Linked DNA regions of Yarrowia lipolytica. The protein of the gene in region 1 purifies or fractionates together with the protein of each later gene. This does not show direct contact. Links are inferred from orthologs where the notes say so. Each region holds a gene or a part of one and is shown on either strand. Other genes may lie near its edges.

Region 1 (4,096 bases):
TACGACCAAATGCCCGAGCCTGCCCGAACTGAGCTGGGCTCTATTGCCCGGAAGATTATGATCCTTGGCCAGCATCTGGTGAACGTGCTGGGTCCTGATCATCCTCTGACCGAAGAGCTCTGTAACATGATTCACATGGTTGGACCGAGAGTTATGTGTCTGTGAAACGCTCCTGTATCAATTTGTGCGACCAACTGAACTACAAGGAATGCTCTCATTACATGCAAACCGCAAACCTGAGCCAAGTACACGGCTGTGAAGTACAAGTATATAGACGACAATACCATGCGTAAACGGATGGCAACCATGAACTCGGAAGTCTTATAGTGCAGAATTATTACATAACCTATTGATCTACAGCTTTACTGATGTATATCTACAGTACAGACCATCTGTTCGACGATTTACAACTTTCGAAGCACGATGGACGCATGTTGTGCAGTGTTGCTAGTTGTGCTGAGAGACTGCACTATGAGACAAACTGACAAAAACCGAGATACCTGACCATATTTGATTGTAAAAACTAACACAACTTGCCAAATACAACAATAATACACTTGGAAGCCCGACTGAGCGTCCCTTCAAAGGCCGACCCCCCACCCAACTCTTTCAAACTTTGATTCACTTTGAGTTACACGATCTCTTTTGTTTTGGTCTGTGAATGACGATATACGCGAAGTTGAAAAGGGAAAATGGATACGTAGATAGCCTTTTCTTGTGCTTTCGACATGATTTTTTCAAAGAGATGTGTTTTTCGAGTACTCCCCATCGAGATATATGCTTGCCAATCTGCGGAGAAATCCAACGGCAACTCAAAACGACGACAAAGAAAACGGTTGAAACAAGCAAGCAACTGTAGCTTGGTGCACATGTGGGTGAACAAACTGGCTGTGAAACTGAACCCCAGCTTGTTTGCTACTTGCAGCCGATTCATATGATCACGTGACTACTATTTCCTGCCCACACGTCAATATCTCAAGATGGCATGCGCCGGTGAGTGGCCGAGAATATGCATGGTTAGATGGGGTGCGTTGTATCGATGAGAGGGATTCCATCTCCGGCTCGGAAGTATATTTGAGTCATGATTGACTCTGCAACTTGTCTCGGTTCGAATCCTGTGGAAGACGCTCGAGTACTCACACTGTTCTGTACGTTCTGTACAGAATGTTCGTTAACATAGCAACGAAGAGGTGTTTCAAGGGCATAACCCAATCAAACCAAATACAAGCATCTATATCACCGCTCGTCTAGTCAGTACTCGTGCCAATGGCTCTCTATGACATCTCTCCGACCCCAGAACTCAGTTTATTGCCGGATACGCCCTGCGACTTTCGGCTATTATTGGTCTTTGCTTCTCTTGGATCACCTGCATGGAAATATCTCCGCCTACATTAATATTTTTCTGCATCCGAGTTTCACGCGGAGGGTGTGTAGCAGGGGAGGGGGTAAAAGGAGTCTTCTCAGTCGACTTTTAAACACGTGTTTTTGTTCCAGTCTGGTCATAGGACGTATAAATCTCGCATCACGTGCTCAGACCGTCGATACCACGTCTAGACCACTCCCCAGGTATGCACTTCACGAGGCTTACCAATCAACCCCCACTAACCTCTTCTTGCATAACTCTATCTATTGGCTGGAACATACATGTCCTGTGGGTGTTGATTTCAGATGTCGAAAAAAGAAGGCACAATCTACACGATGGAAAGACAAAAACAGCCTTGTTTTACTCTAAATTCTCCCCTCTTCAGAATAAGCTCTCTATCTGTCCCGTGACCCACTTGCTCTCTACTATTCTTCGCCACCGTCCAGTATCTCGTTTACACGTGCCGTGATTTACACCTCCCAAAATTGGCTTCCCCAGAGAAAACGGTGCACCTACAACTGTCTACCTCCACCCACACAAGACTACACACACGCAATGACCCTCCGACTTGCGTTTCGAAGCGTGGGCCGTGCAATGGCCACCAGGACCGCGTACCCCTCGCTGGCCCGATCCCTGGCCACCCACGCGCCCTCCACAGAGACCTTCACCGCTTCTGCGCCTGAGGGATCTCTGGTGGCCAAGGCCGTCGAGGCTGTCCAGAACGCTCCTGCCGGCGATGAGCGACCCATCTACCTGGACATGCAGGCCACTACCCCCACGGACCCCCGTGTGCTGGACGTGATGCTCAACTACTATACGGACATGTATGGCAACCCCCATTCGCGAACACACTCGTACGGATGGGAGACCGACACCGCTGTCGAAAAGGCGCGAGAGGAGATTGCCGCCCTAATCGGAGCCGACCCCAAGGAGATCATCTTCACCTCCGGCGCCACCGAGTCCAACAACATGGTCATCAAGGGTATTGCCCGGTTCTACAAGGGCCGAAAGCGACACATCATCACCACCCAGACCGAGCACAAGTGCATTCTGGACTCGTGCCGATACCTGCAGGATGAGGGCTTCGAGGTCACTTACCTGCCCGTTCTGTCCTCCGGTCTCATTGACATGAAGCAGCTGGAGGCCGCCATTCGACCCGACACTGCTCTGGTGTCCATCATGGCCGTCAACAACGAGATTGGTGTGATCCAGCCCATTGCTGAGATTGGCGCTCTGTGTCGATCCAAGAAGGTCTTCTTCCACACCGATGCTGCCCAGGCCGTCGGAAAGATCCCCATCGACGTCAACGCCGACAAGATTGATGTTATGAGCATAAGTGGACACAAGCTTTACGGCCCCATGGGTATCGGTGCCTGCTACGTGCGACGACGACCCCGAGTGCGTCTCGAGCCCATCATTACCGGTGGAGGTCAGGAGCGAGGTCTTCGATCTGGAACTCTGGCTGCCCCCCTCGTTGCTGGCTTTGGAGAGGCTGCCCGTCTGTGTCGACAGGAGATGCCCTACGACACCGCCCACATTAAGAAGCTGTCTGACAAGCTCAAGAACGGTCTCCTGGCCATGGAGCACACTTCTCTGAACGGAGACGCTGAGCACCACTACCCCGGTTGTGTCAACATCTCTTTTGCTTACGTTGAGGGAGAGTCTCTGCTGATGGCTCTCAAGGACATTGCTCTTTCTTCTGGATCCGCCTGCACCTCTGCCTCTCTCGAGCCCTCTTACGTGCTCCGGGCTCTTGGTGCCGATGACGCTCTTGCCCACTCCTCCATTCGATTTGGTATTGGTCGATTCACCACTGAGGCCGAGGTCGACTACGTGCTTAAGGCCGTGCAGGAGCGAGTCAACTTCCTGCGAGAGCTGTCTCCTCTGTGGGAGATGGTCCAGGAGGGTATTGATTTGGATTCTATTGAGTGGTCTCAGCATTAAGCGAACATGGCAGCCAGCAAAAACATTGCGCAACCATGATAAGCGGTATGAACTGTTCTAGACAAGTGTACGAATCAGGTGCAACTAGATCCGCAACAATAAACAAAAAACTGATGAGCCGTGATATATAGGCATGGCATGTGATGAATAGTGAATGATAGTAAGGTAGAGATATGAGTTGAGAAAGAGTGGACGTGAAGAATATGGCTTATCATTGGCTACTTGTAGTCTGCGTTCCAACCAGTATTCCTACGGACGACTCCAATATGCTCCAGCAGCCAATGGGTAGTTGATGACACCACGATTGGCTTGTATCCGTGTAGTACCTGAAGATGGTGGTTGGCGTAGTGTTGTATTGTCATGTGCTATCCTAGTGGTAAAATGCAGCTAACCATAGTGCAGAATCACTAAGGGTGCAGTAGCTGATACGAGATATAGCCCAGTTTCAAGGATTAGGGCAAGAGAGTCCACTTCTACTCGAGGAAACGAAGAGTTACATACCGAACTAATCGTCTTGGGGGGGTCTTAGTGAAGGTCAGTTCAACTCCTTTCTCTTTGTCGTTCCAATTCCGTGTAAGGAGTCAAACATACGACACCGATAAACACCTGGAAGGTCGCCGGTGCGAGTACATGCTGTGCGAATCGTTTGGCACATACCGCAACAGACATTCGAGGGGGGCGTTAGCCGACATGGCCCGTAGCTCAAGCAGTTGCTAGGGTTTGAGCTGAAATGTGACCTGGTCTCGATACGGCTTACACCAGACATGCCTAATGGTCTTTAGTGCAAGC
Region 2 (4,687 bases), on another chromosome or scaffold:
TTTTTTTGGTGTTTTTCTTTTGTTTTTGTTTCTCCTCGCCTTGGATAAAAATTGTGCACTGGTTTTAGCCCCCTTTCATAAGTACAGTACCGGTACATTGTGCTGGAAGTTGTAGCCATGTCAGATAAAAATGTTGTTTAAATTGCTCACCAAAAAAGTGGAGTCATATTCTGAGATGTTTTGGGCAGTTTTTCGCACGGAAAAAGTTGAAAATCAGATCTACAAACACTTTAAAATATATTTATTGATTCAATTTTGTTGTTTATCACCACTAACACCACGTTTGGTACGTCTTTTGTCCCAGATATTAAACTCCGTTATCAGTGGGGCTTGCATTTATCATGCATAATCGTTTGAATTAGTTTCACATTGAGAATAGTGTCTCTAACTCGGTCAATATCGATGGGGTTGACTAGGTGAAAGTTGTAAATACATTATAAGACTCACCGTGAACTCTAGTAAAAAAATTGTCTTTCTACGACCTCTATTGATCCAGAAAAATGAACATCTCGTGAATCCCCCATTTGCCTGTCCTGATCTTAGAGAAACTCGAAAACTACAATTTTCACAGGGTCAATTGAAGAGCTGGTATATTGCAATGTCATTTAGAGCCTTTATATCAACTTTCGGTGTCAATTTGGGCCCATTTGTCACATTCTCGTGTGTAAATATCGGCTGTCATTTTTTGGCTCGATAGAGTTTTGGTCTAAACCAAACTGCGGTTATTGGAATGAGAGTGGAAAACGTCCAGGTGGGTTGTGAGAGGTGACATGAGCTTGAATCAACCACCAGCGAGTTTCTACCATTGGTTTTTGCCGCTTTCATGGTCTCCTTTTCTCCAAACATCCACCACATTCTAGAAGATTCCAAGGCCTTCTACAACGTTCCACCCGATTCCATAGTGCCGAAACATCACCGGGAATGGGTCCTGAACCGCAAATTTTTCCCGTTTCGCCACCATTCTTCCCATTGACCCGGTTAAAATCGGTTTCTTTGCCACCGGGCGTGAAATCGCCCATCTAGCGCTCATTCTGAATGGTCCAAAACCACCCTTCCCGCTCTAGGAAGAGGCATACCACTGTCGATTCGTACTGCGACCACTCCGCCCAGAAATACTGTACGAATGCTACACTGCTGCCGCCTCTGCTCACACCACCGCCCACATGCACATTTCCCCGCTCATTGGCCCGCGAAAGGGTTGCTACGAGGGCCAGACTGAGGCAGTCTCAGCCTCGCGATTAGGTTAAGGCGTAGGCATATGTGATGCCTTTAGATGTGCGGAAGATGTCGTATCTACTGACGCTAGCAGGGGCAGTACACGTCAACAAACCACATAATCGTCTTCTCCATCCTCGGTTTAGTTGATTTCCCGTCTCTCCCGCCTTTGCCACCGCCACAGGTCCCAATAATCGCCATGGACGATTCCAGAACCGCCTTCAACTTTCAGCTCGGTTAACTTTGACGGTCCCATCGCCAAATATATATATCAGCAGCGGTAGCGGAGCAGACACACATAAAACGCACACGCTAACTACTACTTCAACATTATGTTTCGAGTGAACGCAAAGAACGTGCAGCGATTGAGGGCGCGACCTCTCGCTCACGCCAGCACAAGGACCCAGGTCCAGACCAGAGCTTTGAGTACTGCTGTTCGACCTACGACCTCCGCTACTACCAGCTGCTCTACATGGGGCACCATCAGAACCCCGACGATGATTCGGGCTCCAGGAAGCCTCGGATCGCCGAGATTCATCACTATGACCCAGAACCCCGGTGGCGAAAAGTCGTACCTGGAGTCGTACGGAGTGGATCTGTGCGAAAAGGCCAAGGAGGGCAAGCTAGATCCGGTGATTGGTCGAGACGAGGAGATCAAGCGAACGATCCAGATTCTGTCTCGACGAACGAAAAACAACCCCGCGCTGATTGGTCTGGCCGGAACCGGTAAGACCGCCATCATGGAGGGTCTGGCCCAGCGAATCGTCAACGGCGAGGTGCCCGAGTCCATGAAGGGCAAGCGGGTGATAGCTCTGGACGTGGGGGGACTCATTTCCGGCGCCAAGTACCGGGGCGAGTTCGAGGAACGTCTCAAGGGCATTCTGGAGGAGATTGACAAGGCTGAGGGCGAGGTGATTCTCTTTGTCGACGAGTTGCATCTGCTGCTGGGCCTAGGAAAGGGCGAGGGCTCGGTTGACGCCTCCAACCTGCTCAAGCCCGCTCTGTCGCGAGGTAAGCTGCAGTGCTGTGGAGCCACCACCATTGACGAGTACCGAAAGTACATTGAGAAGGATGCGGCCCTGGCTCGACGATTCCAGTCGGTCATGGTCAACGAGCCCTCCGTGGAAGACGCCATTTCCATTCTGCGAGGTCTCAAGGAGCGGTACGAGGTGCACCACGGAGTGCGACTGACCGACGCTGCTCTGGTGACTGCCGCCGTCTACTCCAACCGGTACATTTCCGACCGGTTCCTCCCCGACAAGGCCATTGATCTGGTTGACGAGGCTTGTTCGGCCCTGCGACTTCAGCACGAGTCCAAGCCCGACGAGCTGCAGGAGCTGGAGCGCCAGACGGTGACTCTGGAGATTGAGCTGGAGTCGCTGCGAGAGGAGGAGGACCCTCTGTCGGTGGAGCGACGAAAGAAGGTGGAGGAGAAGCTCGAATTCAAGAAGGGCGAGATTGAGCGGCTCACCAAGGTGTGGGAGGACGAAAAGCGGGCCATTGACCAGATCAAGGAGACCCAAAAGACCCTTGATGGCGCCCGAACCGATCTCGACACCGCCAGACGAACCGGCGACTTTGCCGCCGCCTCCAAGATCCAGTACCAGGACATTCCCGAGCTGGAGCGGATTCTCAAGGACGCCGAGTCCTCCGACGCCGGCTCTTCGTCTCTTTTGCACGACTCTGTGACCCCCAATGACATTGCCAAGGTTGTTTCTCGAATGACCGGCATCCCTACATCGTCCATGATGAAGGGCGAGAAGGACAAGCTGCTAGATATGGAGGTGTGCATGAAGTCACGTGTTGTGGGCCAGGACGAGGCCGTGGACGCTGTGGCTGACGCAGTGCGACTCCACCGAGCCGGTCTCACCAACCAGAAGCGTCCAGTGGCCTCGTTCATCTTCCTGGGACCCACCGGTACCGGTAAGACCGAGCTGACCAAGGGTCTGGCCGAGTTTCTGTTTGACGACGAGAATGCCATCATTCGGTTCGATATGTCCGAGTTCCAGGAGCGACACTCCATTGCTCGACTCATTGGTTCTCCCCCCGGCTACGTTGGCTACGAAGAGTCTGGAGAGCTGACCGAAAAGGTGCGACGAAAGCCCTACGCCGTGGTTCTGTTTGACGAGTTTGAGAAGGCCCACCCTGATGTGTCCAAGCTGCTGTTGCAGGTGCTGGATGAGGGTACGCTGACCGACTCGCAGGGCCGAAAGGTGGACTTTACCAACACCATTCTGGTCATGACCTCCAACATTGGCCAGGAGTATCTGATTTCGGACTCTCCCGACTCCAAGAAGAAGGTGATTGAGGCGCTCAAGTCGCACTACGCCCCCGAGTTCATCAACCGAATCGACGAGACTCTGGTGTTCAACCGACTGACCAAGGAGGCGCTGACCGAGATTATCGACATCCGGCTGCTCGAGGTCCAGGCTCGACTCGAGGACAAGCGAATCACGCTCTTTGTCGACGACGAGGCCAAGCAGTTCCTCGTCGACCACGGCTACGACCCCATGTACGGCGCCCGACCTCTCAACCGACTCATCCAGAAGAAGGTGCTCAACCCACTGGCTCTCCATCTGATCCAGGGCCGAACCCGAACCGGCGAGAATGTGCACGTGACTGTTAAGGATGGCGACATTTACGTTCCTGCCAACCACGAGACTGGAGAGATTGAGGAGTGAACCAACCTAGCGTCAAGCTGCATGTCTGGTAGACAGAGGTCATCAGATGAAGGTAGACTACACTAATGTATATAGAATAATGTTACTGATTGATAAGTTGAGAGAGAATATTGTAGAGCAGGGCCGATTGTATCAGTGTGTACTCCAACTTGATGAATCAGTCAACACCCCATTTCCAATCGCGTTGATATGGCGTACTTTGAGGTTGTCGGTGTCAACTCAAGCAGCCGTTCCGTAGTGTTATTGGGCAGCGAAATACTCTTATCAAAAGTCACGGAGCAAGCCAATGGACTTGAAAAGTTTGGACAATAGCCAAGAATCTCGATTTCCAAGTGTATTACTTCTCTCCGCCCTTTTCTCCCTCTTCTGAGTACAAGTAAATCTCTGACAGGACTTCACAACAGGTCAACACTATCAAATGATACAATGTGCCCGGGCACTTGAGTTGATTGAAATCATTGACGATCAAATTGCGAAGCCTCGCTTTGCACTCCTCGCTTTGCACTCCTCGCGTTGCACATCCTGTCGGAAGTTTCTGCTCCACCCAGAAACATGTCTACCATTCGTCTCGAAGGACTCTGGCAGGCAGCATAAAAAGAACTGATGACACAGGCATAGATACATTCATCTGTACGCTAAAATAACCCATCTCTAGCCTCAAAAAAAAAAAAATGGACGACACCGGAATCGAACCGGGGACCTCGCGCATGCTAAGCGTATGTGATAACCAACTACACCAGACGCCCTGATTTTTTAAAAACAAGGACATGTGCAACTGAGTTCTGGGTAAT

Evidence for each region.
Region 2: the proteins of YALI1_C26167g (region 1) and YALI1_F16656g purify together in Saccharomyces cerevisiae (affinity purification with mass spectrometry; 3 studies listed by BioGRID). This does not show direct contact. The link is inferred for Yarrowia lipolytica from reciprocal best matches to the Saccharomyces cerevisiae genes NFS1 and HSP78.

What each region holds. Positions count from the first base shown.
Region 1 is NC_090772.1:2,614,861-2,618,956, forward strand, and holds YALI1_C26167g (uncharacterized protein), read left to right. Parts: upstream 1-1,918; coding exon 1,919-3,307; downstream 3,308-4,096. Other genes in the region: YALI1_C26146g (uncharacterized protein), read left to right, coding at 1-165; YALI1_C26161g (uncharacterized protein), read left to right, coding at 1,277-1,732. UniProt on the Saccharomyces cerevisiae protein: Catalyzes the removal of elemental sulfur from cysteine to produce alanine. It supplies the inorganic sulfur for iron-sulfur (Fe-S) clusters. Plays a role in both tRNA-processing and mitochondrial metabolism.
Region 2 is NC_090775.1:1,664,068-1,668,754, forward strand, and holds YALI1_F16656g (uncharacterized protein), read left to right. Parts: upstream 1-1,547; coding exon 1,548-3,896; downstream 3,897-4,687. Other genes in the region: YALI1_F16649g (uncharacterized protein), read right to left, coding at 679-873, 917-1,030. UniProt on the Saccharomyces cerevisiae protein: Required, in concert with mitochondrial Hsp70 (SSC1), for the dissociation, resolubilization and refolding of aggregates of damaged proteins in the mitochondrial matrix after heat stress.